Alligator mississippiensis: one gene and its partners. The protein of the gene in region 2 purifies or fractionates together with the protein of the main gene of each other region. This does not show direct contact. Links are inferred from orthologs where the notes say so. Each region holds a gene or a part of one and is shown on either strand. Other genes may lie near its edges.

What was found.
Region 1: the proteins of SMAD3 (region 2) and FOXO3 purify together in Homo sapiens (affinity purification with western blotting; 3 studies listed by BioGRID and IntAct, with this or other methods). This does not show direct contact. The link is inferred for Alligator mississippiensis from reciprocal best matches to the Homo sapiens genes SMAD3 and FOXO3.
Region 3: the proteins of SMAD3 (region 2) and KAT2B purify together in Homo sapiens (affinity purification with western blotting, with the first as the bait; 3 studies listed by BioGRID). This does not show direct contact. The link is inferred for Alligator mississippiensis from reciprocal best matches to the Homo sapiens genes SMAD3 and KAT2B.
Region 4: the proteins of SMAD3 (region 2) and RUNX2 purify together in Homo sapiens (affinity purification with western blotting; 3 studies listed by BioGRID). This does not show direct contact. The link is inferred for Alligator mississippiensis from reciprocal best matches to the Homo sapiens genes SMAD3 and RUNX2.

What each region holds. Positions count from the first base shown.
Region 1 is NC_081824.1:94,245,387-94,252,714, reverse strand, and holds the start of FOXO3 (forkhead box protein O3), read right to left. Parts: upstream 3,012-7,328; 5' UTR 1,583-3,011; coding exon 1,040-1,582; intron 1-1,039. UniProt on the Homo sapiens protein: Transcriptional activator that recognizes and binds to the DNA sequence 5'-[AG]TAAA[TC]A-3' and regulates different processes, such as apoptosis and autophagy.
Region 2 is NC_081834.1:4,232,717-4,240,166, forward strand, and holds the start of SMAD3 (mothers against decapentaplegic homolog 3), read right to left. Parts: upstream 3,011-7,450; 5' UTR 2,944-3,010; coding exon 2,738-2,943; intron 1-2,737. UniProt on the Homo sapiens protein: Receptor-regulated SMAD (R-SMAD) that is an intracellular signal transducer and transcriptional modulator activated by TGF-beta (transforming growth factor) and activin type 1 receptor kinases.
Region 3 is NC_081828.1:150,497,915-150,505,881, reverse strand, and holds the start of KAT2B (histone acetyltransferase KAT2B), read left to right. Parts: upstream 1-4,962; 5' UTR 4,963-5,065; coding exon 5,066-5,296; intron 5,297-7,967. UniProt on the Homo sapiens protein: Functions as a histone acetyltransferase (HAT) to promote transcriptional activation. Has significant histone acetyltransferase activity with core histones (H3 and H4), and also with nucleosome core particles.
Region 4 is NC_081824.1:12,513,417-12,521,232, reverse strand, and holds the start of RUNX2 (runt-related transcription factor 2), read right to left. Parts: upstream 3,005-7,816; 5' UTR 2,926-3,004; intron 2,717-2,925; 5' UTR 2,653-2,716; coding exon 2,595-2,652; intron 1-2,594. UniProt on the Homo sapiens protein: Transcription factor involved in osteoblastic differentiation and skeletal morphogenesis. Essential for the maturation of osteoblasts and both intramembranous and endochondral ossification.

The DNA of each region.
Region 1 (7,328 bases), on a different chromosome or scaffold from region 2:
TCAAATGCAACACAAACACTTCTCCTGTAAAGTTCCATTTGGAAGGGGGGAAGTCGTTTACATACCACCCTTATCACGTCTCAAACATGAGAATGAGTTTTGGGAATCCTCCAGCTTAGACTATTTTCATGTGATCTATCTCTGCCTAGTATGCAAACTCTCCCCAGTGTGAGAAAACAGAAAAAAGGTGATGGGAAATGTCATTCCTCATCGATCGGATCAAAGTTCTTCAAAAAATCCTCCTCCTGGCATTGGGTCAGATGCTCAGCCGTAAAGACTTGCAATACTGGCACCGAGCTGCTACTGAAGAGAGCCAGCCTTTTCCTCCTTGCTAAATAGCCACCCTGCATCATGCCAGTGACACTGCTTTCTGAGCAGCTGGAATGCTTAAAAGACGGGGCATGTGCCATATGCACAGAAGAACGCAATAAATACTGAAGGCAACCAGTTTTGGGGGGGAGCTCAGAAAGAAAGAAAGAAAGAAGGATGAGAAGGAAAGGAGAGAAAGAAAGGATGGAAGACAGGAAAGAATGAAGAGAAAGTAGACAAAGAAAGAAAGAAGTTTGGCTGTCTAATATTAGCACGGGAGTGTGTGTTCTTTTAAAGAAAGGAGCTCCAGTTATAAAAACAAAACTGCCTGGACCCCATGTGCTTTCAAAGTCAGGAGGTAAACAACCTGCAAGAAAAGCGGATCCTGTCTCCCTTCCCTCTGGGTCCGGACCGGATCCCGGCTGCCCGGACCAGTGCCCAGAGCGAAGGGGGAGAGAGAGATGGGCAGGGCGATGTGTTTCTGTAGCAGAAGGGTCCCCCAGCTGCCCTAACATGTAGGAAAAGCCAGACAACTATCAAGGGAGGCGGTGGGGGGGAGAAAAGTCTCTGTTTGGAGGAACTCCCCAGCGGCTGAGGGGAGCAGGTGGCCCCCGCCGCCCTCCCCCCGCTCGTCTCGCAGGGGCCGGGGAGGGCGCCCCTCAGCAGCAGCAGCAGCAGCCCCCAGCCCAGCCCAGCCCAGCCCCTCGCGGGTCGGGTGCCCCGCTCCTACCTTCCAGCCGGCCGAGCTGTTGCTGTCGCCCTTATCCTTGAAGTAGGGCACGCAGCGCACCATCCAGTCGTAGATCTGCGAGAGCGTGAGGCGCTTGTCCGGGGCGCTCTCGATGGCGCGGGTGATCAGGTCGGCGTACGACAGGTTGCCCCACGCGTTGCGCCGCGACGAACACTTGCGCGGGGCCGAAGAGGCGGTGGCGGCGGCCCCCGCGCCCGGCCCCGCGCCCAGCCCGGCCCCGGCCGGCCCCGGGACCAGCAGCCGCGCCGCCTCGTCCGGCACCAGCGCCGCGTCCCCGCCGCTGGGCCCGGCGCCGCCGATGGCCATGGCCGAGCCGCCCCCGTCCTCGTCGTCGTCGTCCTCCTCGGGGATCATGGAGGCGGCGTCGGCGGCCGCCTCCCCCGCGGGCTTGGACGGGCTGCCTTGCAGCTCGGGCCTCTGCAGCGGCCAAGTGCAGGAGCGCGGCCGGCTCTGGGGCTCGAACTCGGGGTCCAGCTCCACGTCCAGCGGCGACGGGGGCGCGGGCGGCGACGCCTCTGCCATCTTCTCGCGGCTCCGGCTCCGGCGGGAGGCTGCCGCTGCTCTGCCACTGTTCTCGCTGCCTAGCAGGCCGGGGGCAGCCGGGCGCACATGCCCCCGCTCGCCATGAAGATCCTGCCTAGCACAGCACCCGCCCGCACCCACACCCACACCCGCACCACGCCCCCCGCCCACCCCGGCCCGCCCGCCACACGCCAAACGCGAGCGCCGCCAGATGCACCAGATGTGGCGCCCCGCGGGCTGGGACCGGGCGCCGCCGGCAGCCGGCTCTGGGGCGGGGGGGGTCTGTCTGTGCTTGCGCGTGTGTGTCCGGTGTGTAGCTGTGTGCCCTTTCTCGTGTGCGTGTTTCTATGCGTGTGTATGTCTAGGTGTGTGTTGTGCGATTGTGTCTATGCGTATGCGTCGCCTGTGTTGTGTTGTGCTGTGCGCGCGCGTGTGTATCTGGTGTGTGTGTCGCCTGCGTGTGGCTGGTGTGCGCGGTGTGTGTGTTTATGTTTCACTCCGTGCGGCTCCCGGCGGCGGGAGGCAGCGCCCCCTCCCCGCAGCCCCCAGCGCCGAGCCGGCCCCGCCGCGTGGGCACCGCGCTTCCTCCTCGCTCGGCTGCCCGCGCTGCTCTGCCCGCCGGCGGCAGGAGCCACGTCCTTCCAGTGGCACCGAAGACTTTTGTGCCTCCTTCACACCGAAGTCCTGGCCGCCTCCGACGGGGCTCACAGCTTCGCAGGTCGCTTTCCTATGTCCGCCCCCCTCCCTTCCCCTCCGACAAAAAAAAAAATCAAGCAAAAAATAATACCAATAACAATTCACATCCAGCGGAACAGGTGAGAAGCCGCCACCCTGGGCTTCCTCCCCTCCTTCTTGCGGGGGGCGGCGCAAAAAAAAAAAAAAAAAAAACAACCACCAAAAATCACCCAAAAAACAACTGATCCGAACCAAACGCAGTAAAATGTGCAGTCTTCCAACAGGTCCGGGGGCCGCCGGGCTGCCAGGAGGACGGGGCTGGCTCCAGCATCAACACTACGTTCATAACCTCCTTGCTCCTACTGCTGCCATCTTGACAGGTTTTTTCTTTTCCTCCCCCCACCCCCCAGCGTCGCTCAAGTCATTGAAAAAAGCGCCGGGGAAAGCGGCGGAGAGCGCGGCAGCGCGAGGCTCCGCGCCGGGAGGCGCCAGCAGCGACCTCCGCTCCCAGCCCGCGTCCGGATCCAGCGTCCGCCGGGTTCCTGCTCCTGCCCCTGGCCCGCCGCCTCTCCGGCTGCCGGCCGCCTTCCCTTCAGAGGCCGGGCAGGACGGGGCCGCCGGCCGCGCGGGGCCTCGGCGAGTGGCGCGGGGAGGGCGGGGATCGCCGCGGCAGCCGGCCCGAGCAGCCCGCCGCCCCGCACGCCGCTGACTTCCACATTCCTTCTCCTAACAACCAGCGGCGGCAACACAAAGTTATACACACACGCAGGGAGTCTCAACCTAACCCCGCAGCCGCCTGGTCCCCGCCCACAGGGAGGGAAGGGCCGGGTTGCAGGCAGCCCAGGGACAAGTTTACAAGCGACTGCAGGAAAGAAAGCGGTGTTATCGGCCAGATCGGCCTCTGTCCCCCGCAAATGCTGGGGTAATAACCTGGCTTCAACCCCCCGCCAAGTCAGGACGTCTAGAGGACTAGTGTATATAATATCAGCCTCTTTTAGAGCATAATACAGAGAGCTCTGGAGACTTAAAGAGACATTGCTTTGTTAAAGCTGCTTCAGAAAAAGCCATGCCTGTGCTACGAACACCTTCATTGACTAAACATGAAGCGCCCTGAACAGCCAGTTTGCTTTCCTTTCTTTCTCAGCTCTGCCCCCTGCTCTGAGTGACCTTGAGGATCTGGGCTGTTGCCTCAGTTTCATCTTCCTTCATACACAGGGCTCATGAAACATCCTTGCCTCACAGTGGAGTTGTGAGGCCGTATTGATTAGGGTTGGGAAGGGGCTTTAGGGTTCTCAGATGAAAAGCTATACATGTGCAAAGTAATACTGTTTTTTATTATTATTCCCCTTGTTTCTGCATGTCTGATCTAGAGCCCTAGGCACCAGTGCAGTACATTCAGTTTTGTTTATAGTTTGCTTTCAGTCAAACGTACTCAGGGTGCTCAGGCACTAGTACATAATTTCAGCAGGTATTGCTTTCAATTACTTTACAGCAAAACAGTTGAACATATAGCTTCCACACAGCAGAGAAGAGTGGGGTGAAGGTTTGTTGTAATTTTTGTTCTAAATTTTCTGTTGCTCTTATATGGAAAGCTATTTTTAGAAAACCTAAATTGAAAGTCCCTTTTAACTTCCATTCAGCACTGTGGGTGACTGAAGGCACATGTCCAGGCATGTACACATGTGCATATCATTCCACTTTCTCCTTCAAGTACACACTGTACCAGAAATACCTCCCAAATAGCTTGAAGGAAGGCTATGCCAATTACTTGGTTTGATAAAAGCCAGAGATTACTAAATATGAGTCTCTTCATTTGAATGCAGATATAAATACTTAGCAGCATATCTGCATTAGTAATTGCAGGGATTTGTATTTACAGTTTTGTTGTGTTTGGTTTAGTACCAAAGCAATGTATTCCTATCTCCTGGATAGAGACAGTTGCCTGAAAAGTAAGTTTGCCTCTAATGTGTTTCTAGATAGAATTACCTCAACAGACAAATTAAATTATCCCTGATTTATTTATAGTTATGTATGAGCAATGGGGTTTGTACACAGCTTAATTTTAAATGGTTTTAAAACAGTAAGGCCCTGATCTGACATGCCTTCTGCAGGCAGCTACATACTGGGGAAGGCCTTCAGTTTTGACCATATTGCTGTGGTTTTGCTCCATTACAAACCCAGGCCCCATGTAGAGTGTTTCACCATTGCTGCATTATGGGGGGAAGGAGGGATCGATAAATATAAGCTACAACCGAGATTTCAACTACAAGATTTAGTATGTTTTAGTATGTATGACAATAAAGCTGAATTTATCCAAATGTAAGGGGGGAATCTTAATTCACTGGAATAAATGCAGGTGTAGATGATAACAGGTTATTTTCAATTAAAGCAGCACACATTGCAGTACATGACTTCAATTTGGGTCTATATTGGATCATCAACATGCATGTGTCTGTCACTGGATTCTGTCGTAGAGAGGCCATTGATAGGAACGTAAGGGTGATTCAGTCTATGAATAGGGTATTGACTAAGGTGCATATGGGATACTGACATTTGTTCATGAAAACTATACTGATTACTATTATTTGTATTGTGCTAGCTCCTAAGAGCTATGGCCCAGACCCCATTGCTCAAGGCACTGTAAAGACATGTTCAGACCATCAATCAATATCTGAACAGCCACTGAAGGATACCAGATGTCAGCAGTAATCCAAGCTGTGCCAGACGAGCATCTATTACTATTCTCCTAGACCACCTGGTGATTCAAGTGGGCTCTGAGATTTGGAGAGATGAGAAAAGAGATGCATCCCTGAATCTCCAGTCATCCTCCCAGGCTGTCTCAGGAGGATGCACTTAGGGCTAAGTTGAAAATTGACAATGTTGGCCCAAATTATATTATATTTATTTTGTTTGTTTGTTTGTATGACATTACTCCATAGCTGCATTTGGCCATTAGAGGCTAGGTGTGCTCTGTACGTGTACTAAACAATGCCCAGTATGAATAAGCAAGACAGACAAAGGGTGGAAGGAAGTAGTATTAACCCTATTAAACAGATGGAGGATTGAGGCAGAGAGATATTAAAGTGGCTTTTCTGAGGTCATATGCCAGGAAGTCTGTGGCAGACCTTGGAGCTAAAACTAGATCTCCTGAATCCCAGTCCCAGGCCTTAACCACAGGATCATTCTTCCCCTTCATGTCCTTCCCCCAACATGTCAGCTATGCAGTCCTTATCAGAGGGAATTCTGGTTCTTCAGAGCTCCTCACAGAACTTAGTTTCTATAGTTTTGCTTTGTAGAGCCAGAATTAAAAAATTACTTAATTACTCTGGTAATTTTTACCTAGGGAAGCTTCTGCATAGGACATGGGGAAATGAGCCGAATTCTGTATATCACAGTCCCATAAACAGAGTAGTCCCATTGTAGTTAGTAGTGTAATGAGCAAGATTTAGTTCAAAGCCTTAAGGTTAAGCCTTATGGTCACACAAACACTGTTATATGGGATTTTCCAAAGGGCTCAGTTTTTGGAAGTTTTATCACTGACTTCAATGGGAATAGAGGGCGCTGACAAGAGTTACTTCCACATAGTGATTCCTGGTAACATCTCTGACAGCCAAGAGCTCCCCAATTGACAAAAATGCCAAAGCGCACAAAGATAAAGATACAGACACCATTTTTGTCATACGAAAGAAGAAGAATGGGAGCAGGGTTAGGCCAGTACTGAGCCTTTTTGAAAATCTCAGCCATTTAATCTATTACAGCAAGGTCTTCCAGGCAAAGCCACATCTTGTATATGTGTGCGCTTCTCTCCCTTGCTCTCTATGTATGGTGACAGATCCCGTGGGAATCACTAGAAGGGATTTTTTAAAAGATTCACTCATTTGAGCACTCATCCACAGGCTTGACCAAGACATGCCACTGCCTGGCTGCTTTGGTAATCTTCTTTCATTCTGGTGATTCAAAAAGTTAGTTTTTCCCAAGATAGTGCACTAGTTGATGGTAGTATCCTTAAAAATGCTCATTAAATATCCCCATAGTAGGAGTATCTTCTTTTCTTTTCTCTAGTATCTTCACATTTTCATAGGGCTGGCACCCTTTGTGAACTTTTCATGCAAACAAAATTCCCAGCATTAGATTATAAATGGCCTTTCATGAGCATGTGGAGGGCAGGGTAAAGGTTGCATTGGGAACCTTAGACATTTCCTAATTACTGCGTAAAAGTATTGTAAAGTATATTGCTGTTAGATAAAATAATGTTACGTTGTGGTTATAGCATACTATTATTGTACATGTCTATTATATTTGAATATTATTACATAACAATCATCCATACAGAAAAGGAATATCTGGGGTTGCAAAAGCAAGAATTTACAAGTCAGTAAACTCCAAAGTTATAGCTGCCATGTGACCTTAATTCTGCCTCATGCAGCACAATACAGCTCTTCTATAATGCATTACATCTTTTTTATTATATCCTCACTAACGTGTCAAGCTGCCTTATTCACTGCACAGCATCCAACATGCAGATTCACTAAAGCAAGGGACCAGTTTATACAGTGCATGTGTCAGAAGTCTGCGAGAGGTGACTACAGCAACCCCACACTGTTTCCTTGTACCCATGGTTTAGGAGCAAGTCTGAGAGAGTGGTTTTACCTGCAAATAAACAGACCAAGTATTCTAATGAGGGGAAGGAGGAAAAAAGTGAGTGTAACAAAAGAGGAAGTGGTTGCATTTACTACTGCGGAAAGGGAGAGAGGATTATTTTCTCAACTACTATGGAACATTTTTCTGCCAAGTTGACTTGGCTCAGAATTGTGGCCTAGGCCCTAAGGCTGAGAAGTTTCAAATGGTAAATATTCCATGTATATGAGGACCTCATCCAGTAAGAAGTATCTTCAGATCTCCATGTGGTGCAAGCCCCAGAGACTGCAGCTGCTGGCATAAGCAAACACCTGACTGATCTAAGGGAAAGTCTGCAGAGGGCCAAAGAGAAAAGTCCTATTGAGTTGTGAAGCAGATCAGGGAAATGGAAAAATTCTACTCCACAGTTTTCAGTTGTGACTCATTCTCTCTC
Region 2 (7,450 bases):
TGGTTGAGGGGGTAAGACACCAACCCCACGAGGGATTGGGAGACCTTGGCTTACAGTTATGGCTCTGACACTAACCTGCTGTATAACCTTGAGCAAATCACTTCATCTATAAGACTCATCTTTACAGGGCAGGGACTGTCTTTTACCATGTTTGCAGCTAACCTACACCAGACTAGCCTGGGTATGGGCATTAGGTTTGATTGCAATAGAAGGATTAAATAACAGTAAAAGTGCATACTATTTTCAATACTTGAAGCTAGTGTCAGGTGACAAATAACTACTGCTAGAAGGGACCCATGGTGTCAGGTGTAATCAGGCAAAATTCCAGTTGATATCAAGGATTAAGGACTGAGGTTGGGGTCCATGTCATGAACAAATGAAAGATTTTAATTGCTGGGGGACTCTGTCTAGCAGACAGATTTCCAGGACAGAAAAAAAAAAATAAAGAAACAGCCATTCACTTTACACGGTAAACATTAGCTAGAGTGTCCTGGCAGTGTTCAGAGTTTGTGACATTTGCTTTTTTGATGTTACTTGCTTTTTTTTTTAAATGCATTCTCTCACACACCAAATGCTTCCTATGAATTACAACTTATTGAAAACAGCTTTCTACCCCTCTCAAAACACCCGTGTTCCTACCGAAGCACATTTTAGGTCATTTCATTCTCTGACTCTTCACAGGAGAGCAGCAGTGAGTCTTTGAAATCCAAAATACAAAAACACAAGTCACATCAGTGGTTGGACTTTTCAAAATCCCTTCCCCCCCCGCCCAAATTTGCAATACAGTAAAAAAAAACTTCCACAAAGAGCTTTGAATAGAGTGGATTTCACTGCTTATCAAGAGTTTCAGATACAGGCTAGAGGGTAGGCATGTCAGGCACGAGTTGTGCAGATACTAATCTCAGATTCAACCCTGAAAATCCAGAGTAACTCCAATGAGATCAATCTAGATTTAGTGACCAAAATCTAATTTAGTATTTATTGTTCACTGGAAAAAAAGAGTCATGAGAAGCTATTAAATGATCATTAAAATTCATGGTTGATGAAGCAGCCTTTTAAAAAAAAAATAAATAAATGAAAAAAAAAAATCAAGAGTTTCAAACTTTCCCAACATTTTAAAGCTATTTGTTTCACTGGTTCATGCAACAGATGCTGCTTTGTGTGTACTAGCCACTGCATATTAAATCATTCTGACAACCACGACAGCACACATTTGTGTATGACAGACAAAAAAAGCATGCATATATACACACAGAAGCATATAATTATACAGCATTAAAATATTTTGCATGAACTTTAGCCTTTGGGTAAAAAAAAAAAAAAAAAGCAGTGTTGTATTATTCCTCAAAATAATCAACAGTACTAAGAATGACAGTCATGTAAGTGAGCTTAGAGAAATAAAAAAACCCCAGAAACTTCAGTTATAAAATGTTCCTCCTTATGGCCACTTCTCAAATTCTGAGAAATGCTTGTGCTCTCCCACACGTTATAACGGACCTTGTGGGCACAACCGTGCCAAAAAAACCCTACAAGATTGCATAAATAATCTGCATGAAGTCAGTTATTTGATCCGTGCGATCCCTCACCTACCTACTAATCCCACTCAGCTGCATGAACGGCGTCCTTTTTTGGAACAAAATAATGAGCCTATAACCATGTAAATGTGCCAAGTAATATAACCTCATGTAATATAGCCATGTAGTGTGCAAAAAGATATAACCCAATGTAATATAGCCACATTAGTGTGCAAAATATAACCTAATGTAATAGTCACATTAGTGTGCAAGTGATATAACCTCATGTAATATAGCCACGTTAGTGTGCAAAATATAACCTCATGTAACATAGCCATGTAGTGCGTAAAAGTTATATAACCTCATGTAATATAGCCATGTAGCGTGCAAAAAGATATAACCTCATGTAATATAGCCACATTAGTGTGCAAAATATAACCTCATGTCATATAGTCACATTAGCGTGCAAAAGTGATATAACTGCATGTAATATAGCCACGTTAGTGTGCAAAATATAAGCTAATGTAACATAGCCACGTTAGTGTGCAAAAGTAATATGACCTAATGTAATATATAGCCATGTAGTGTGCAAAGTGATATAACCTCATGTAAGTCACATTAGTGTGCAAAAGTGATATAACCTCAGTGTGCAAAATATAACCTCATGTAATATGGCCATGTAGTGTGTAAAAGTGATATAACCTCATGTAATATAGCCACATTAGCGTGCAAAAGTGATATAATCTAATGTCATATAGCCACATTAGCGTGCAAAAGTGATATAACCGCATGTAATATAGCCACATTAGTGTGCAAAATACAACCTCATGCGATGTAGCCACATTAGCGTGCAAAGTAATACAGCCACAGTGTGCAAATATAGCCAAATGTCATATAGCCACATTAGCGTGCACAAGTAATATCACCTCATGTACTATAGCCATGTAGTGTGCGAAAGTAACGTAACGCCACAGTGTGCAAGTATACACAGCCAGATGTAATGGAGCCAGGTGAGTGTGCAAAGTAACGCAGCCCCACAGGGCGCAAAAGTTGTGCAGCCGAACGTAAGCGGGCCGGGCCGTGCGGGGCCGGGCCGTGCGGGGCCGTGCAGCCGCGGTGCCGGGGCAGGGCGATGCCGGCTGGGGGGAGGGGAACAAAGCGGGATCCCGCACTAAGTGCGCCCCGCACCGCACCCCGCCGGGCCGGGCCGGGCCGGGCCGTACCTGGGGATGGTGATGCACTTGGTGTTGATGCTCTGCGTGGTGATGGCCTTCTCCAGCTCGTCCAGCTGCCCCGTCTTCTTCAGCTTCTTCACCAGGCTCTTCACCGCCTTCTCGCACCACTTCTCCTCCTGCCCGTTCTGCTCGCCCTTCTTCCAGCCCAGCAGCCGCTTCACGATGGGGGGGGTGAAGGGCAGGATGGACGACATGCTGCCGGCCCCGCCGCCGCCGCCGCCACCACCGCCGCCGCCGACAACTTCGCCTCAGCTCGCCCGCCCGCCGCCGCCGCCGCTCCTGCAAATGGCCCGCGGCCGCCCCGCCCGGGAAGGAGGCGGGCAGGGCAGGGCAGGGGAGGGGAGGGGAGGAGAGGGGCCGCCACCAACCGCCGCCGCCTCCGCCTCCCCGCGCCGGGGCAGCCCCTCAGCCTCCGCCCGCGCACACGGGGCTGCCCTCCACACGCACACACACACACCCCTCCGCACCCTGCCCCGCGCCAGGAGCAAACATCCATTTCCCCTTCCCTCACACACACACACACACACGGGCACCTCTCCTCCCCTCACATACATCCATTTCCCCTTCACACACACACACACACGGGCACCTCTGCTCCCCTCACATACATCCATTTCCCCTTCACACACACACACACACATACACACACACACACGGGCACCTCTCCTCCCCTCACATACATCCATTTCCCCTTCACACACACACACACACACACACACACACACACACACACACACACACGGGCACCTCTCCTCCCCTCACATAAACGCACAGAGAAATGGGCACCTCTTCTCCTCTCCGCACACTGCTCCAGGCCAGGAGCAAACATCCATTTCCCCTTCCCTCACACACACACACACACACACACGGGCACCTCTCCTCCCCTCCAGGCGCAGCCCTCTCCTCTCCCCTCACACACACATGCACACTGACGTGGGCACCTCTTCTCCTCTCCGCACACTCCCCAAGTCCCAGAGCAAACGTCCATTTCCCTTTCCCTCACACACACACACACCCTGGGGGGACTGGTTCTGTCCTCCACGCCAGGGAGATTTGAGCCGAAAACAGCTTTAAAAGCAAGAAGCGGGCCCTGAAATCTTGCTGCAAAACGAGCCGCGTACAAGAGAGACTCGGGGGGTGCCACACTCGAGACCCTTTAGCTCAGAGATCAGGGCTCATGGTCGAGGCGGTGTCTTTTATGAAGCCAACTAGACATTTGCAGAAAAATTTCTTTCGTTGCAAGCTTTCGGGTGCACGCACCCTTCATCGGGCATCAGAGATGAGCTTGTAAACGTTCTCCTGGGGAGAAATGACAGTTTACATTGTATAGGAGTGTTGAAAGTGGTTAAAATCTGTCTGGAAAAGTTCATTTCATTTGCAGGTTAGGCTCAGAGAGAAGTTGGAAAGATCTGTTTCCCTCGAAGTTGTTTGTTGGTGAGCAGGATGTATTCATGTTTCCTTCTGGTGATGGTGTTTCATATTTCACAGAGGAGTAAAGCGGTGGGATGTTCCTCTGAGCACTAATTCAGAGAGGACACCACCTTTTATCAGACCAACTAAGACATCGCAAAAACAATGATCTTTTTCTGCAAGTGTTTGGGCATACACCCTTCCTCAAGCTCAGGGAGAATTAAAGAGGGTAAAAAGTCCCCGTAGGTAGAAAATAAACTTCATTTTTTGCACAGAGGAAGCTGAAAGTGGACATCTGTTCCTCTGGGTGCACGAGGGTGTCTTTGGGAGTTGCTTTCTGATGTGCAAATAAGGCAGGATTCATCCTTCCCTGGTGGAGACTTGGAAACTGCCGGGGCCTGGACCTGCAGAGAGAAAGCTCTCCAGATAAGAGCGTATCTTAACCCTAAAAAACCCCAAACAAGAGCTGTGTATGTTTTCCTGGCTGCTCCACAAGTCCTAGGTGGGCTACTGAGAGCCCCAGATTCCAGGGTCTGCAATTCTCCACTCAGCCAGGGTTTCCAGGCCCTAGAAAGCAGCCCTAATTTTGAGAGACCCATTTTTTGACTGCCCACATAGAGATGCTTTGAGAAGAGAGAGGCTACGTATCTGCAGATCGCACTGATGACATTTCTAGCAGTGGTTGTTCAATGCCTCTGAAAATCAGGCAAACATTTATTTCCTCTGGCTGTTCAGCCTACAGTTAGGTCACCGCAACTGTTCACCCCAAATGAGAGAGAACCGTCACTACTGCTAATGCTTGCAATGTTCGGCATTTTTTCTTAAAAGCCAAAGCACGTGAAATCAAATGATTTAGGCGAGAATCTCAGCTTTCGTTTAAAACGTTTCTTTCCTTAACAAGTTTGGAGAGGAACTTTAATACCGATCCAAATGTAACCTAAATGCTCAAAACCCAGAAGATACAAATAAAGAAGCCTGGTGGGTTATTATTATTTTTTTTAAATCTCAGGATTTTAAACCAAAAGGTAGATTCTGCAGAGGCTGTTTCTACTCTGTGCTGGAATGGGGCAGCAACTCAGAAAGAGAAGTGAAAAGTAACACTGAAGTCTCAACCCTGAACTGATAGTTTGTACTTTGGACTTAGATATCTAGTACGTTTCAAACAAGGCTCTCAAAATGTTCAACCAACGCTCACGGGCCAAGCTTCGCTGCGTTTACATGAGGTAGAGATATTATGATTATTATTTCACAGGAACAAATGGGTCAATTTAAACATGGGGCTGTTAGGTGCTTTTCCCAAATTAACAGTCAGTGGCAAAGCAGCAAATGAAGTCCAGCAATTCTAGCTCACATTTAACTTCTTCTCTTGTGCCGAGACACCCTGGATTTAATTCTGTCCAATTTACCCTAGTAGGTGCGTTGAACTCAGCGAGCCACATCCCAGATTACATCAGCATGGAGATCAGTACAGCTCAAAAGGGGAACAAATTTGGTAACAAGATGCAGCATTCATTTTTAAGATTAGGGACATTAAGTTTTATAGAACCACCTCTGGGAGTGCTTGGTTTACCTGTCAAAGGAGCTGTCCTGTGAAAACATGCCTTTCTGAACCCCCAGACAGTCTGTCTTTATTTCGGAGAGTTTTGGATACTCACACAATGGAAATATTAACAGACAGGAAAAGGATGGAACCATCCTAATTTTTCATGGTCTGGATCCCTTTTCTGGTTTATAAAAAGTCTGATGTCTTCGTGGCTACCTTCAGGCTAAATAAGCAATAAGCATAAATTTTTATAGCAATATAACTACTGCCTTCATCTTTTAAAATACACCTCATCTTTAGTATCCTTACCTATGTGACCATCCTTACGCATGTGACCTCTGCATGTTGAGTCTGGGACCATCTGGGACTCAATCTCATCCACTGAGATTTTGTTCCTACTGATATGTACAGTTATGGAGCCCACTTAAGAAACCAAAAATACTTTTATGGATAATGTGCATTACTCATACTTTTAATTACATGAATATATTGCCAGATCTAGTAAAAAACTAGTTTACGCGGCACGTTCATTAAATTAATAAGTTTAAACTTTACCTTCTAAAACAAGAAAACTGGGCTTTCAGTTGAGACAATACAGAATTAATCGTTAACACAAGGTGAAAACAAATTCCTTCTAAAGAGCCTGTGAACATACACAGAGATACACTAGTGCTGGGCATGCTTTTAATTGCTTGCAAGACCAAAGGACAGACTCTCTGCTCCACACTATTCTCTTTGTATTGCTCATGGTAAAAAAGGGAGCGGGAGAGTCCAAAGCAAGCGTAGAGCCAGCTCTCTCCATAGGGGTATGTCAGAACTGGCAGGCTGAAGTACCCTGACTATCCCTAACTGGCAGTGGTCCTTTGCAGAGCCATAGACATTGCCTTTACACTGCTCTAATGTGTACTTGGGGTTGTGACACAATCAGGGAGTGTTAAACATCTCATACCCCACCCCCACTTCTGTACCCAACTATTGAATTAGTAAGTCTAATTTCTGAAGTATAGCTATATACGTAAACAAGGTACTTTGGGTAGCTTCATAGATTGTAAGGCCAGAAGGGACCTCGGAAGATCATCGGGTCCAGCCCCATGCACCAAGCAGGAAAGATAACTGCAGTCAGGTGACCCCAGCAAGGGGACCGTACAGTCTCCCCTTGAAGACGTCCAGGGTAGGTGATTGCACCAACCTCTGGAGGGAGCTTATTCCAGTCTGGACACTAACTGTGAAGAAGTTTTTCCTAATGTTGAGCCTGAATCGATCTTCCAGGAGTTTGTGGCCATTCCTCCAGGTTTTCCCCTCGGGTGCCCTGGTGAACAGTTGCTCACTGAGCCCTTGATGTGCTCCCCTAGTGTAGTGGTAAGCTGCTACCAGGTACTCTCTCAGCCTTCTTTCCCTCAGGCTGAAGAGTCCCAGATCCCCCAGCCTTTCCTCGTATGGCTTGCCTTTTAAGACTCTGATCATATTAGTGGCTCTTCTTTAGACTTTCTCAAGCTTGTCCATGTCCTTGTTAAAGTGTGGTGGCCAGGACTGGGCGCAGTGCTGCAGCTGCAGTCTCACCAGTGCTGAGTAGAGTAGAAGAATCACCTCCTTGGCTTTGCTGGAGATGCATTGACTGATGCATGCCAGAGTATTATTTGCCTTACTGGCTATGACATTGCAGTGCCGGCTCATATTCATACTGTGGTCTATTATCACCCCCCAGTTCCTTTCATTCATGGCGCTAGTCAGTTTGGTGCCACCAAGCC
Region 3 (7,967 bases), on a different chromosome or scaffold from region 2:
CCATGAGTATCACAATAACACTTCATCAATTTTTATTTAAAAAACCAAGCCATGTTTGGACAAAAAGCACACTTATCAAGAATGACAATAAATACAAATATCTCAAACTCCTCTAGTCCCCCTGAGTTCACAGGCAGATCAAACACCTCAGAAAGTATGATTCTGTTCTAACAAGTGCCTGTGCAAAGACATTCCTCTTCTTCAGATCTGATTCTCTCTCTAGTCAAAGTCCTACCTGTTTACCTTAGTAATGAAAACAATGTTTATATTGCATTGTAGTCCTATTGAGTTAAAACTGACCATGCTTAACTTATTGCATATGAGTAGCCTTCCTGTGATCAATCAAACATTATGTTTGTGTCTGTAGGATTAGAACGAAGAGGCAGTTAGGTGAATTCTTTCAGTTCCTGTGTCATCACCAGAAGTGCTTACTTGCTAAATTTCAGTTTCAGAATCAGTTAGTTATAATTCTGCCAACTGTGATAACTAGCCACAGAAATTGAAGACAGCATGGGGTTAAAGATATTGCTTGATGTCTGATTAGGCCCACAGAGACTTCATTACTGACAACAATGAGTAAGAACAAGAACTAGTTAGAATTATAACCCCCACATCAAGCTTATGCATTGCAACTACCCCCATTCTTTAAGTTATATATTTAAGCATACTTTATATGGATGGCACTGATACCATTTCAACAGGGGCTCTTATAACGCATATACAGAATCATGGGGGTATCACTTATCACAACAACATTGATTTCAGTGCAGCTACCACATGTAACAAAAATTCAGGAGCCAACCCAACATTTCCAAGGAATTAGTAAATCCTTATATGTTATGTAGACCAAAATAGTAGGCAGACTCAGGTCAGCACATGTTGGCCATCACCAATACAAATTAGCTTTCAGCTTTGATTTATGGAGTATTTAAGGCAAGATTTGAATGAAGATAATGGCTATACTACTACACTTGTTCTGTTCTATAATGAAAAAAAATTACAGCTTACCTAGCACAGCTTCTGGAGCTATTCCTCAGTAATACTAAGCTTTAGTTCTGCATATATAATGAAACTGGTGTTTACAAAAGTTACTATAGAAACGGTATCCCTAGCCACTGGTGGTGATTTATTGTTCTCATTATCTATTAAGCAATACGGTAAAAAGATATGGGTGCTGAAAGACAATCATGCTCTTGAGGATATAAGAAGGAAGTGCAGTAAAAGTGCTCTTTCAATTTGTAATAACTATTGTCTTAATATATGTACTTAGATTTCAAAACAGAACTCATTTCCCCTTAACAAAATTAACATGAACAAGGCCGCATATAAAATATAAACAATGCTTAAAGGGTATGGGTATTTTAATAAAAGGCAGTGTCTGCCTCATGCTTTACATACTTGGTTTTATTTTTAATAGAAATAAAACTCCTCTAGACAAATAGGACTTAGAAAAAGCTCCAGAAGAAGGTATGTGCTTAGGCCTTGATCCTACAAGTATTTGCACATGGGCTTAACTTTTGTGCATCACAGGGCCTATTGAAGTCAGCAAGACTACTTCCACAGGCAGGGAAAATGAAAGTGAAATAGATTAATATATTTTAACTGATTGAAAGGAAAATAAAAGTAAATAGCAAAAACAATAACCATGCCATTGCATTTTTTTATTCACAATCTCACATGTAGAGTAGACAGAGTAGGTAAGGTAATCATTGTTTTAAAAACTTTACTCTTCATCAATTATTGCATGTTCTTATTTAAAGAAATAAAAATTCCTCTGATTTAAGTTGTGTTCAAAGGGAGTCATTTTTTAAATTTAAAATGCCCTTAAAGTTTGTGCAGACTATCTCTGTTGGCACTATACCTCTCACCATTGCTCTCTTTTAAAGTTCTGCGAGGCTTGGGTTTGAATGACCAGTCCACCTTAACAGCCTATCTTAAAAAATATGGGACGTTAGCAGCCATCTTAAAGGGTCACTGTCAGCTTGAATGTAACATTTTTGCCTGAAAATACTGTATCAACTCCAACTGCTAACACTGGCCAGGAATTTTTCAGTGACACAGATGTGTGTTGAAAAGTGCTGATTGGAAAAGCTGAAATGTTTATATGAAAGTGAATGTTTCAATAAACTTCTGACAAAACACAGGAACTTTGCTTTCCTGCCAGCTCACCCAGGAGGCCCACAGCTATGGGGCAGCTCTCTCAGGAAGACTGGGCTTTCTTTGTTAATAGTGGTAGGAACAAGGACAATGCTGGGTGCTGGCTTTGGCTGCTGGCTCTGCAGCAGGGAGACTGGCATTTCTGAGACCCCTGGCTTGAACTAGGACTCTCACAGATTCCAGGTTTCTTTTCAGTCCAAGGATCCCAGTCCCTGAAGTCTCATGATTCAGCTGTGACCCCCAAAGCTTAATGCCTCCTACCTCCCCATCTGTTTACTGGGACTCACCAGGCTTTGAGAGCCACTGCTGACCTGGGGACTTTGGAACTGGCCACTATGACCTCATGATGTCTCTTCCAGCCCTAATTTCCTATGATCCTGTGATTCTTCTTAGGATTGTTTTGCGCTTAACAATGGGAGACAATCACTTAGTTATGTACAAAGAATTCAGCCCATTCTCCCCAATATTAAAGCATTTGCTATTTGGGCCAAAAATAGATTTACTTTTAAATTCTCAGAACATGTATTAATTACTTTGAGTTACAATTAATTTTCAAATGTGTCCTTTTAAAAATGTAGCACCTGGAGTCACACTTGTTTGTTGTCAGGAATGATCTCAATACATACTCTTCAGACTTGCCACATGATTAAAACTCACTAGTATTTCTTGCCTTAGCAGCATTTTAAATCCTCTTTCCTCTGAAAAATCAGTATTCAGAAAAAAAAAAAAAATCCAAATGCTATCCAGTATGAAAATGCAGAGTTAGGGCAACTAAGCAACCTTGACTCTGCCCTCAAGCATTCTTGACTATGCCCTAGAGTGAGGCCATGAGGGGAAAACAAAACTGATGTGTGTTTAAGAGCAGTTTTATAACCCAGGACTATAATCTTATGCTAATAGTAATTATATAGCTGTTGCTTGATAATGTCAGATGGTAAAGTTAAGGTGCTCAAGTGCTTTAATTGTATGTTGCCATGCCCAAATTCCTTTTCAAGTTACCCTTATTTCTGAATGTCCTGAATTTACCATGCTTGTTGACAGGGGCAGATCCAGGGGGTTGCAGTAGTGCAGTTAGACCCCCACTTTGATTCCTGCTGCTCCCAAACTTTAAAACCAATTACCTGGGCAGCAGGGAGGGGACTTCATGGCTTATTATCATCTCCCTGAGTCCTGCTGAATTCTACCCACTCCACAGGTGTTAATATAACAAGCTATCCTCTTCAATAATTGTCATATTTCACGATTCAAACTATCCTTTCTTCTGCAATTTTGCTTTCTTTTAGCCATTCCTGGTAATGTCTCTCTTCTGTTTCATAGCCCAGCAGAACTGTATTCAGCGCTAGCTTCAGCACTTATCTCAGGTGTGGTAATATTAATTCAGAAGTAGAAACCACCGAGTGTGTCTACACGAGACTTTACTGCGGAGCTGCCTAGTTAGCTCCACAGTAAATGTCTCAGTGTCTACATGTGCAGTGCTACTAGGCAGGAATAAACTAACCGTGCAGCACCCTTGTGCCTCAGCCAGTCCCTTGAGAGCAGGTTGAGCTGGGCTGAAGCAGCTTCTGGCTGGCAAGCTGACCACCCCCACAGCTCCCTGCCAACTGGGGCTGCTCCCACCCAGCTCAATATGCTGCTGTCCTGGGCCCAGGAGCAATAAACTCTGGCAGGATGTGTGCTGGAGTTAATTGCACATGTAAATGTGCCCCAGCCAAGGCTCTGTGTACCCAGGTCTTAAAAACCTCTAAGGATGGAGCTTCCACCACCTCTCTGGGGTCACCTGTTCCAGTGTCTTACTACCCTCCTCTGCACTGGTGACGTATAGGGGGTGCATGGGGGAGAGCGCTGGTGCACCCCCTGACAGGCTGTGCTCCCTGCTTAGGCGATGGGGGTGAGGGGGCAGGCAGGAGGGCTGTGAGTATTGGCCTGGGAACAGGAGTGCTGGATGAAGGGCCACAGCCACTTCTGGGAGTGTTGCCGCTGCTTCCCGGTCCGTGCGAGCACCTATGGGGCCCCCCCCGGTCAGTGAGATTGGCTGTGGGGGACTGCCCCAGTTACTGACTGGTTGCTGGTGGGTCACATGCCCCCCCAAGGTGCCACCAGTCACCCACACTCCTCTGAGAAAGTGTTTGCCAAAACCCATGAATGATTGGTGCCTCCCGAGACTGGGGGGGCACAATGTGTGGGCAGCAGCGTTGGTGGCAGGGTGGTGAGCAGCAACCCCCGCCCCCCGCAGAAACTAGCAGCGGCCAAGCTCAGGGGCTGCACGTGTCCCCCCACAGAAGTTGCCTATGCCAAGACCCTGCCTAAACGTCCCTTGCCGCAACTTGAAATTATTGCTCCTTGTTCCATCTTCTGCCCCCTCCCCGAGAACAGGCCAACTCCGGCCTCTCCGTAACCCCCGCCAGGGAACCGAAGGCTGCTATGAAATCCCCCGTCTCCTCTCCTCCGGATTACACAGACTGGTTGGCCGTGTGGGGGGCACGCACGCACACACACACACACACACCTCCTAAGCCATTTTGCTGCCTTTCCCCCGAGGGGTGTGAAGTCTCCCCTCAGGAAGGAGGCGCGGGGCTGCCCGCAGACGGAGGGGGAGCGCGGCGCCGTCACGCACGAGGGGACTTGGGGGGGTGGCGGTGGCGGGCGGCACCAGGTGCGGGAGCCGGGCCGGGCCGCGCGGGGCTGGGCTGCGGCGAGGGGCCGGGACACAGGCCTCGTCAGTCCCTCCCCCTGGCACCGGGGCGCCCTGTCCCCGGCCGCCGCCTGCTCCCGGCTCGGGAGGTGCCGCCGAGGTGCGGCCAGTCCCCTCCCTCCTCCCTCCCGGGGAGCAGCCGGCGGCGGCGGCGCTGGGAAGAAGGGGAGGGTCCAAGCGCTGGGCGCGCCGCGCCCGCCCGCCCGAGGCGGCGGCATGGCCGAGGCTGGCGGGGCCGGGCCGGCGGCGGGCGCGGGCCCGCAGCAGGGCTCCCCCGCCGCCGGGGGACTGCCCGCGGGCGGCGCGGCCCGGGCTGCTGCCGCCGCCGAGAGCCCCGGGGGCGGCGGGGGCGCCGGCTCGGCCCGCATCGCCGGCAAGAAGGCGCAGCTGCGCTCCGCGCCCCGCGCCAAGAAGCTGGAGAAGCTGGGCGTCTACTCCGCCTGCAAGGTACCCCCCACCCCGCCGCCGCCGCCGCCGCTTGTGGGGCACTCGCCCCGGGAGGCCGGGCCGGGCCGGGCCGGGCCGCGGGGTGAGGCGGCGGTGGCGGGGGAGCTCCGCCCCGCCCCGCACTGCACTGCACGTCTCTGCCCGTTCCTGCGGGGACGGGGGAGGGGAGAGCCGGGCTGCGAGCTGTGCAGCGGCGCCCCCGCTGGGCCCTGCTCTGCCTTTCCGGGCAGCAGCGCCTTTGTTGTGACAGGCGGACAGCTGACGGGGCGGCGCTCCCGGCCGGGGGGACCTGAGCTGGGGCAGGAGCTCGCCCAGCTCCCGGGGAAGGTGGGCGAGGAGCTGCCTAGGCGGCAGCCGTGTACCCCCGTGAAGAAGAAGGCTAGTGGCATTGCTGGACGATCGCAGTGTTTTATATCCTGTAGGTGTTCTCATTGATTGCCGAGGCAGGGAAAACACCACATGTCTTGGTTCACGAAGGCAGTTTTCCTTAAGCCTTCCTGGGGATAACTGTTCTTCCAGCGCTGCTTAGTACCCACCGAGGTGCTGGGGCTTAATGCCCATTTTATGGAAATGGGAGGCTCCACCCTAGCTTGCTCCTATGCCTGAGGGTAGGTGAAACTTGGGGGCTTCTGAACCCCAAGCCTCCTGGTTTGGGCCTGCACACAGGATGCCTGCCAAAAAACGATGGAAATATCTGAAGGTCGTGGTTGGGGGTGGAGGATGTTTGCTGGTTCTAGGGCCACTTATGTTTCTGGACTGACTCATGGATTTGGCTGATTTGGGTTGGAACACAAAAAATTTCTTAAAAAAAAAAAAAGAAAGCTGTATGAATAGGAGCGGGGTCAGTGGATGGAGGGAAGTGATTGTCCTCCTCTGGTTGACACTGGTGAAGCCACGTCTGCAGCCGGTTTGGGGCCCTCCGCTACAGAGAGGTTGTGGATAAATTCGGGAGGGCAAAGGAAAATGGTTAGCAGGGCGGGGAGCATGATTTAGGAAGAGAGGCAGACGGAACTGGGCTTACAGGCAGACCCTGGACTTATGACGCAATTGCTTCCTGAAACCCTCATCTTAAGTCCAAATGTTGTAAGTCTGTACCAATTTTTCCCATAGGCAACAATGTTATAAATGGGGGATTGGTTTCTGAACCAAGGCTGGATACCCAATTTTCACCAAAAATAACCCAGAATTTTGTACTCAATTATAGATGAGTAATATAGCTACATTCATGTATTTATATGGTAAATAGCAATCATACTGGTTTGGAAGGACTTCTTTGCGGCAACTTTGCTCAACTTTTTGAAGGGCTCTTGGTTGGGCTTTTTGAAGGGTTCTTGGCTGGAGTCTTCTCTACAGGTTTTTGTGGAGTTTTGTCTGCTTTTTTAAAGAAAGTGTCCAAGGAAGTTTGGACAGATGCTCTCCAGGGAGATGGGCAACGTAGCGAACTTGTTCACTGGCGTGGCATCATGTTGGATCAAGCATTGTAAAGTCTAAACTGAGGCCAGAAAGTTGAAACAGGGTGTCAATTTATAAACCTTGTAAGTGCAAAACCTTGTAACTTGAAATGTTGTAAGTCTAGGACTGCCTGTATTTAGTCTGAAGAAGAGAAGATGGAGGGGGGATTTAATAGCAGTCTTCAATTCCCTGAAGGGAGGTTTCAGAGAGGATGGAGCTAGATCGGGGGTAAGCAACCCCCAGCACGGGTGCCAGAGTGCATTTTGCTTGGTGTGTGCATCTCAGGACAAATGGCAGGGAAGGAGTCAGGGCTGTGCCGGCGGATCAGGCCCCTCATGGCTCCCCTGCCATCTTCCTCTGGCATGCCAACATCTTACAAGCTGAGGATGCCAATATTTTTGGCACTTTGTCCAAAAACATTGCTGACCCCTGAGCTAGATTGTTATCAATGGTAGCTGATGACAGAACAAGGAGCAACAGTCTCAAGTTGCAGCAAGGGAAGTTTACATTGGATATTAGGAAAAAATTTCTCACTAGCAAGGTGGTGAAGCACTGAAACAGGTTACCCAGAGAGGTGGTGCAATCTCTATCCATGGAGGTTTTTAAGACTTGACTAGACAAAGCTGTGGCTGGGATGATCTAGCTGGGGATGGTCCTGCTTTGAGCAGGGGGTTGGACTAGATGGCCTCCTGATGTCTGTTCCAACTCTAATTCTCTATGATTCTAAGCAGTGGCTCCTAACATAGGCACAGAGACAGAAACTTTCCTTTAATTTTTTTAAAGTCCTTCCTAGCCAGCAGGCACAATTTGAACATAGAATATTCTTAGTTTGATTCCCAGTGGAGAGCAAGTGGGTAGCATCACAAAACACCACCACTGCACATGGCATCCTCTTGAGGCTCAGTGCTTTGAGGTTATGCCTAGTAATTGAGTTTGGGCTCAGGGAAGCTTATGCTCCTCTGATTCAGTTAGTTTCTAATGTGAGTCTCTAACCTAGTCATGATTTAGATCTGTTCCTCTAGTTGTGTTTAGCCACTCTAGATCTGTTACTGTGGCCAGGTATTGTGGATATTGCCGTTGCCTTTGCTATACTTTTTTTTATGAGTAGATATGCCATTCATTGAGGGTCATTAACTCAGTTGCTCTCATGAGAACTCTGTTCTTGTAAGCTATTTTCACTAGAAAAATAGTCTAGATATATGGAGGTGAATCTGAAGAG
Region 4 (7,816 bases), on a different chromosome or scaffold from region 2:
TTAGTATTGATTCACTTTGAACAAAAGGCAAAATTATGAGAGCCTTAGCCTATTTGAATTGGTAGGCTTAAATTTAAAAAAACTGAAAGGAAGGCATATACAAATAGAACACACTCAAACTTGGATTCAGTTCAGAGCATACCTGTTGAGCAGAATTAGTCTAATGAGTACAGAACCTAGTGTTTAGATAATTCAGACTTAAAGGAATAAGACTGTATGCTCTTGAAGTTACAGAAGACCCCTCCCCGCATCAGGTGATATGAAAATTTGCAGAAATACCACAGGTTGAAACAGATTAGCAGGTACGTAATTCAGAGACGTGATTCATGCTGCAGTTCCAGTTGGAATAAATCGTGGAACAGAATTGGAAGAGATTAAATGCCAAACCTGACAGTACTTAAAATGATAATCTAATTGTGCATTCTCATAAGCAACTGCAAAAGTGCCTTAGTAGTTTGGAAACAATAAATGGATGAGTGATTTGGCTCTTTTTTTCTTTACAATAAAGCGTAAACATGAAAATAGGTATTTTCACAACTTTCAGGTATACTGATGACGTTGATATGAGAGAAATTTTGTTTTAGACATTCATTGTAGTTTGTTTCTAAGGATATATTTACATACCCTTCTTTTACACAGAATTCGGAAGAACTCATTGTCCCGGTTATAGCACTTTGCAGTAGGTTAAAGAATGACCAAAAGTAGACTAATTCAGCAGTCGGCACTGCATGTTATGATAATTTTAGCCAACTTACTTTCTTCTAATCTCTTTTGGAAGTAAAAGCAAAAGAAAGTCCCTATACATGTAAACTGTATTTCCTGTTGTAAACACTGGGATAATGTGGTCTGGCTACACTTCTGCTGTGCTTCATTAAGAGAGCAGTTTTAGTAGAAATGCTGCCTACAATTTAAAGACTATTTTTTGTATCCGCACTTCACTCCAGTTTTTCTGTGAGGTATAACTATTAGAGCAATTGTAGACAGTACTGAGATGTAGCATTTCCAGTGCCTATGTGCATTTTAAACGCAACAGTTCTCTGTTCCTTTAAAGCTTTTTCTTTATGTCTAATTGTGCTCATAGACTTAAACTACATTCATGTGCTTAGATAGGAGCCAGTTGCAATGCGTGAAGTAGGAGGGGTAAAAGGAACTCCAACCATCAGCTAGTTGCAATACAAGCTTAATCTATACTGAAAGCATATGTAGCATCTTTTTGACTAGGAAAAAAAGGGAGGAATAAAGGAAATAGGTTTAACTACAGCCCCATTATAGCTTCATCATGATGGACAGCATTAAGAAAATTTTGTAAGTTTTGAAAATGTTTTACTGTTCTTTCAGTTTGTTTTCTTCCTCTGTCTTAAATGACTCAGTGAGAAATCTTTCATATGTGTCTGACCACTGATCAAATGTGATCAGGGGTCAGCATTTTGCTATTGCCCTTTTAAACGAAAGTTTGAAAGCATTTAAGATTTTATACAAATCACTCAAAAGTTAGTCTCGTTCAGTTTTATATAGGGGTTCTCTATCTCAAAAGACATTGATGTATATTGAATCCAACAGCAGATCTGAGAAGAATAAAAGGTTTGGAGCTAAATGATGTTAGAAGTACAATGTGTGTACTCTCAGTAGGGTCATGCATGTAAATCTACATGGTACATGCATATGTGGAATGCTAATTCATAATTGCATGATTTTATGAAGGTGTTTTAAGACATCTGTGTTTACAGATCTGAATATTTAATCCAATATTTGGCAACATACCATTATATAAAGTAGCTTTAAAAATGCTAATTTCATCCACTTTTTTGAAACTTCAGGTTTTTTGGTGGCTTTTTTTTTAATGCAGAAACTGCTCTTTGCTTAGTCTTGACTTAAGTATGGTTAGAAAAACTGTATCGGAGCATTGATGCATTGTAAACCATGCCTTGCTGTGAAAAAGTGGAAACATTAACAGATTGTTGGTCTAACAGATTCCTGTTAGCATATTACTAGATGAAGTTTAATTTGAGACATCTAGGACAATTGCTAGGGCAGTGATGTGCAGGAAAGGATTTCAGATGCTATATTTTATCTAGGCAGACAAGGTTCTTTGGTTGAATCTGATATTTTACTAACTTTTTTTCAGATACAGAGAACTGGCTGTTAAATCATGTAACTTACTTCTGTTTCAGTAATTTGATTACCCAGTCATGTTATAACTGTATAGAAATGTCCCATTTTATTCCTAGTTTCTTCACCTTGTATTGTAAGATGTGGTTGATTCTATTAATTTAATACTTTAGCTTTTTACCTAGTTCAAAGCAGCATCGTACGTCTCCAAGTACATGTCGCAGTACACATGGAGTCAGATAGGTGACAGATGAGCACACCTGCTGTCAAATGCCAAGGTATAAGCTGGTGATTTCATGTTGCCTAGCTTTTCAGTTAACAGTGTCGTTCTTAATATGCACGTATTACTTACAGTAACGTTTTTTTTTCACCTGACTAAATCTCCCATCTTCAAACCATAATATATCATTCAACAAGTTTGTTTTTCTGTTGTGACAATGCCCAGTGCTTACTCAGAAAATTTAAAAACGGATTGTGGTACTTACCCCAAAAGAAGTTTTGCTGACATGGTGTCACTGAGCTGAACAGACTGTTTGATGCCATAGTCCCCCTCTCTTTTCACACAGAACTTGTACCTTCTGATGTAAGTGCTGCTTGGAGCCTTAAACTGCAAACACAAACCATAGCCAAACCTTCCTTTAGTTTTACAGAGTGCTTGGAGTGCATAGACTCCTATATTTGTTTTTTTCTGTCAAAAAATTGTGAAGCGCTGGTAACATGTGAAAAGCAAGGAAACAAAACAAAAAAAAAAAGAGAATGAGCAAATATTTGAAGGACCTACTATTACTGCATAGACTGTGGTTAGACAGCACTTACTGACTCTGTTGGTCTCAGTGGCTGGTAGTGACCTGCGGAGATTAACCATTTAAAAACCAGAGGCTTCTTGCTGTCCTCCTGGAGAAAGTTTGCACCGCACTTGTGGTTCTGTGGTTGTTTGTGAGGCGAATGAAGCATTCACACAATCCAAAAAAGCAAAAGCTTTAAAACTCCTTTTTTTGCAAGCACTGTTACTGGAGAGACAGAATCATGTGGTTTGTGACATCAGAGTACTCAAAGTAAAGTGGGACTGCCTACCACTGTGGCTTTTTCTTTCTTTCTATTTTTTTTTTTTTTATTTTGACAAAAGGCCCGTGGTAAGGCCCTTCCTGGCATCCAGAAGGATATAGCTTTTTAATTTTTGTGACTCATGAGGATTTGGAGGGAGTACAAAATGTGAAAGAGCCCAAACTCCTGTACAGTTAAAGCATATGGACAGCAGAACTTTATTTGTACTCTCACTTCAGGTTTTCCCCCCTCTTTTTTTTTTTTTCTTCCCCCCCCCCCCCGTCCTGTCTCTAGCTTATTATTGTGTCTGTGGCAAAGTGAGCAAAATTGGCGCAAGTGGCTGTGTGAAATTCTGAACAACAGTGATGATTTACAATAATTTACATCTTTGGATTGTATCACGATCTTGGGTCTGCTTCATATTTGCTGGGTGGCTGGATTCCTTCTGTTTTACTTTTTCTTCTTGTCTTCTTATACTTGTGAATCTGTAACTCATTGTAAGAAATTTTACCTTTCGTAAGGTCTAGTAGCAGCTTGTTGGGGCTGTTTTGTACTGTAATTGGCTGTCATAGAAGTGTTAGTCTCGGGATTCCTTTACAAATTTTAAATCATGTCTGTCTTGCTTACATGTATTCAAGACTAGCTGGCAGTTTTATATAATGACATTTAAGTGTAATTATATACCTTTTGTATATTGTACAGAGTGTCATTTGGATGCTGTAAATTATTTGGGTACTGCTTTATACATTGTGCTTTTAGAATAAAAACTGTTGTAGGGATTTAATATGGACGCTTAACATAATGAATTGTATGGATTGTGGGATTTTGATTGCACTTACATTAATTGTTTCTTATAATTTTAATGTTACAGAGGAACAGCATAGACTTTAGACTTTTTGGGACACTGTAAATAACTTTATTCAGCAGTTACTGTTAACATCTATTTTAAAGATGAAGCATAAATTTGATGCATATGTTGGATTTGAACACTTATATCAGGTTTGTGTGTGCATTCACAATATTATCACATATTTAACTTTGACTTTGTGTAGCATAAACTTTTTACTATACCAGTACAGAATGGGTTAACAGCAGCAGTATTTTTTTGTGTTTATAATAGAGGCTTTGAAATAAATTGCAAAATGCTGTGCATAGTAAGGAATAATATGCACAGACAGTGTGTATTAGTAGTCTTGATTTGCTCACTCAGATTCAGAACAAAATTGGAAACATCTTTGGGAAACTGTCTTATTTTTGCCCCTTTGGACATTTATATGTAGAACTCATTTTCTTGTTAGCATGATTGTATACCTTGGGCACTGCATTTTATAGTTTCATCAGAGTGTAGGATTTTTGGTATATGCGGGGAAGGGATAGAAGCATGGCAGTAAAAGAAAGTTGCTAAGGATTTTCAGCCTGTATTTGTATCACTTCTGATGTCTATATCCCTGGCAACTAACCTCCCTCTTGCTTCCCCATTCTTCCTACCCCTACTTCCCGAATAAGAAAATGACCAGAAGTGGTGTGAAACTAATAAATGGAAAAGTGGGTGGAGACCGGGTTTGCCTTTTGTTCCTTTTTTTTTCCCCTTTTGGTGGATGGAGGTGAGGAAATGGGAAAGGGGAATTTTCAATTAAAATCACAACTTGTGAAAGTTTTCTTTTTTGGAGGGCTGATATGTATCAGAAAAACATAAAATAATTTTGTTTATCAACGTCTCTGTCATAATGCCTATTACAATGTATACTGTGCTTGTATTTTGGAACATTTTCAGTTCTTAAAAGTTGCCACATTTCCAGAATTCTTCTTAAAATTAGGAGTTATACAGTGAACTGTCATGTAAAAAAGTAAAAACCATTATTTAACTTGTCCCTTTTGAAGATGCATTTCTTGTACCTCTAAATGTTATATTATGGTACGACCATCACTGGAAACAAAAAAGGTAAGGTGGTAAAAATGATTGACTTTACTGGCAATTGTATCATAAAAACAAAGTATATTTGTTTAGGTTAGAAGTTTAATTAACTTTTAATGTAATAAAAGCATTTAGAGGGCATTTCCCTATAATTTGTTGAATTTCAGTTCACAGAATTTGTACAAAGTGCAGACTTCTGCAAATTCAGTAACACATTGAAAATGTTTATCAGTTTGCATATTATGGTAATGAAAATTAATTTTCTTATAACTAAAATGTTGCCGGCAGACTAATTTTTTTTCATTCATTGAAAACCATCCTTTATAATTTTAAAACCGAAGAAGTTTATTACTAGTCAGTTCTTCAGTGTCTGAAAAGAAACTTGCCACAGAGGTGTTGTATCTTTCTTTTTTAACTTCTGTAAATTGAAATAATGTCTTTAATTCTTCAAGATAGCTGGGGCTTTTTGTTTGTTTGTCTGTTTCATTCTTTCACTGATATATTTGTAAGGTTATTTACCAATGTTCCCTTTTAATATGTTATCTGCGAGGTATAATTTTTTGAGTAGCACCATGGAGCTTTTTCAACTTAGATTTTAAGATTTAAATCACTAAAATAAATTTTCTATTTAGCATGGTAAAGTTTACCAAACAATATAAAAACTTGTTCCAGTGTCTGGTTGGAGTGTAGTTCTTAAACATGTTTTCTCTATTAATTTGGAATTTAAATATTTCTTGGCATTGGAAATGTTTCCTTTTTAGTGGGTATAGTGTGGTGGGGGGAGGAGGTTTCAAGCAAAATTGTGTTTCAACTCAATACCTGGCAACCCCTTTCTTCAAAAATAGTTTGCACTTTTAGTGCAATGAAGAAGAAATCTGAATTTTGAAAAGCTGTTGTGTAAACAAGTCTCTTGATTGCAGTCATACATTTGACAGTCTTTTGTTTAAATGGCAGAACTAAAAAAAAAAAAAAATCAAAGTTAACTTAAAAAAAATCCACAGGGGATACTTTAAGTCACTGATACAATTACACTTACAAAAGGAGTATCAAGTTAAAGAATTTGCTTTGTAAATTATGGACTAGTTCTTTGATGACAAATTAAATCTCATTTTGAAATTAAAATCAATTGTAATACAAACCTAATGCCATCGTATCCTTTATCTTTTTGGAAATTTGTTTTGAAAACCTTTAAAGATTTGCTTTATCTTATTTCCAAACATTTTGCTTTTTGTCGCTCATACTTTTTATACAGCAAATAAACAGTACGATTCACTGGGGAAAGTTTATTTGTACTTAAATTTGTTTTGATGCTATGGTTAGAGGGGTTTAAAAATTCTACTTACTCTGGTAGGATGATGGTCTTGCAACTAAGTGTAATTTATTCAACGAGTAGATGATAGTTTAATAGTTTTCCACACAAAGTGACATAGATAATACCCTTTATTACTACTTCAGATGCTTCAACTCGACAGATTTTATTCCTTAGATCCGTATCTATTGGTGCTACATTTTTCTGTATCTGAACCAACCCGTGTGCTTGGTTTCAGCATCTCACAATCAGAAGCCATTCTCACCCTCCATTATAGTTTTCTTAGTGGTGTTGGAATTTACTTTTTGGTAGTTCTTACTAAATTGATGTAGACTTATTCTGTCCTAATGTGTATAATTGTAGTATTTTCATATTTTGTGGATGGGCTGTGTAGACTGGGATTTTTCACTTCCAGCATCTTTATAGTTGCTTAATACAGCCTGAATGTTAATATAAAAGATTTTTCCTTCTCTTTAATGGAATGTGAAAGTACCTATTAATAAAATAACATCCAGTAAAAATACTCTTACAAGTTAGGTTTTTTTTCCTAATGCCACTTTTTAAAAATACTGACTCTTGTCAGAGGTTTTTTTGGGCATCTGCAGGATAAATGAGGGATATTCAAATGAATGACAAATGTATCCACTTTGATGCTCCTCTTTGCGTCTTATTCTCCCTTGACTTCCATGCACTAATTTAACAAGAAAGATATGAAGCTGCTTGATTGATTTAGAAATCACAGATTGTGGGGGAAAAAAGTAGCTTTTTCTTCCCAGGTTAAGCAAATATTTGGTTGTCTGCCCCCTTTTCATTGAACTCATACTGTTAAAGATCAGTTTAAATCTGAACAGAAAACCACTATGACAGATTAAGATGACAGTAAGCCTTTGTTAATCAGTGATACATTTATTTAGTAGTAAGTAACATAATTGTTTTATGTTGCCTTGGGTTATTAACTTTCTCATTTATCATTACTCAGAAAAAATGTTCACCAATTCAACTTCAGTGTTGAAGTATTCTGCCTGTGTTTGGGCCCGAAATAAGATTCTTCATCTAAAAAGTCAAATATCTCTCAATGGCTATTGCTTTTGCACATTTATAGCTCAGTTATTTTCCTGAATAGCAATGCTTTTTTACCCCCTGTTCTTTATGCATATATTTCTTCATCTGTACAGCAAGTGAGAAGATAATTCTACTTGGCTGTAGTCTTACAGTCAATATATAGGTTTAAAATCATTATAATCTTATTGCTATTTTCTCCTGTCTGTTTTCTTTAAAAAAAAAAAAAAAAGAAAAAAAGAAAAAAAAGTCAACTTGCAGAAAATATGGGAAACTTGTCTCATATAACAGCTGAGGATGTGGCTAGGTTAAAGCAGGAAACTGCTACCCACAATGCAATGTTACATACACTACCACTTAATAAAATTTATTTCAAACAT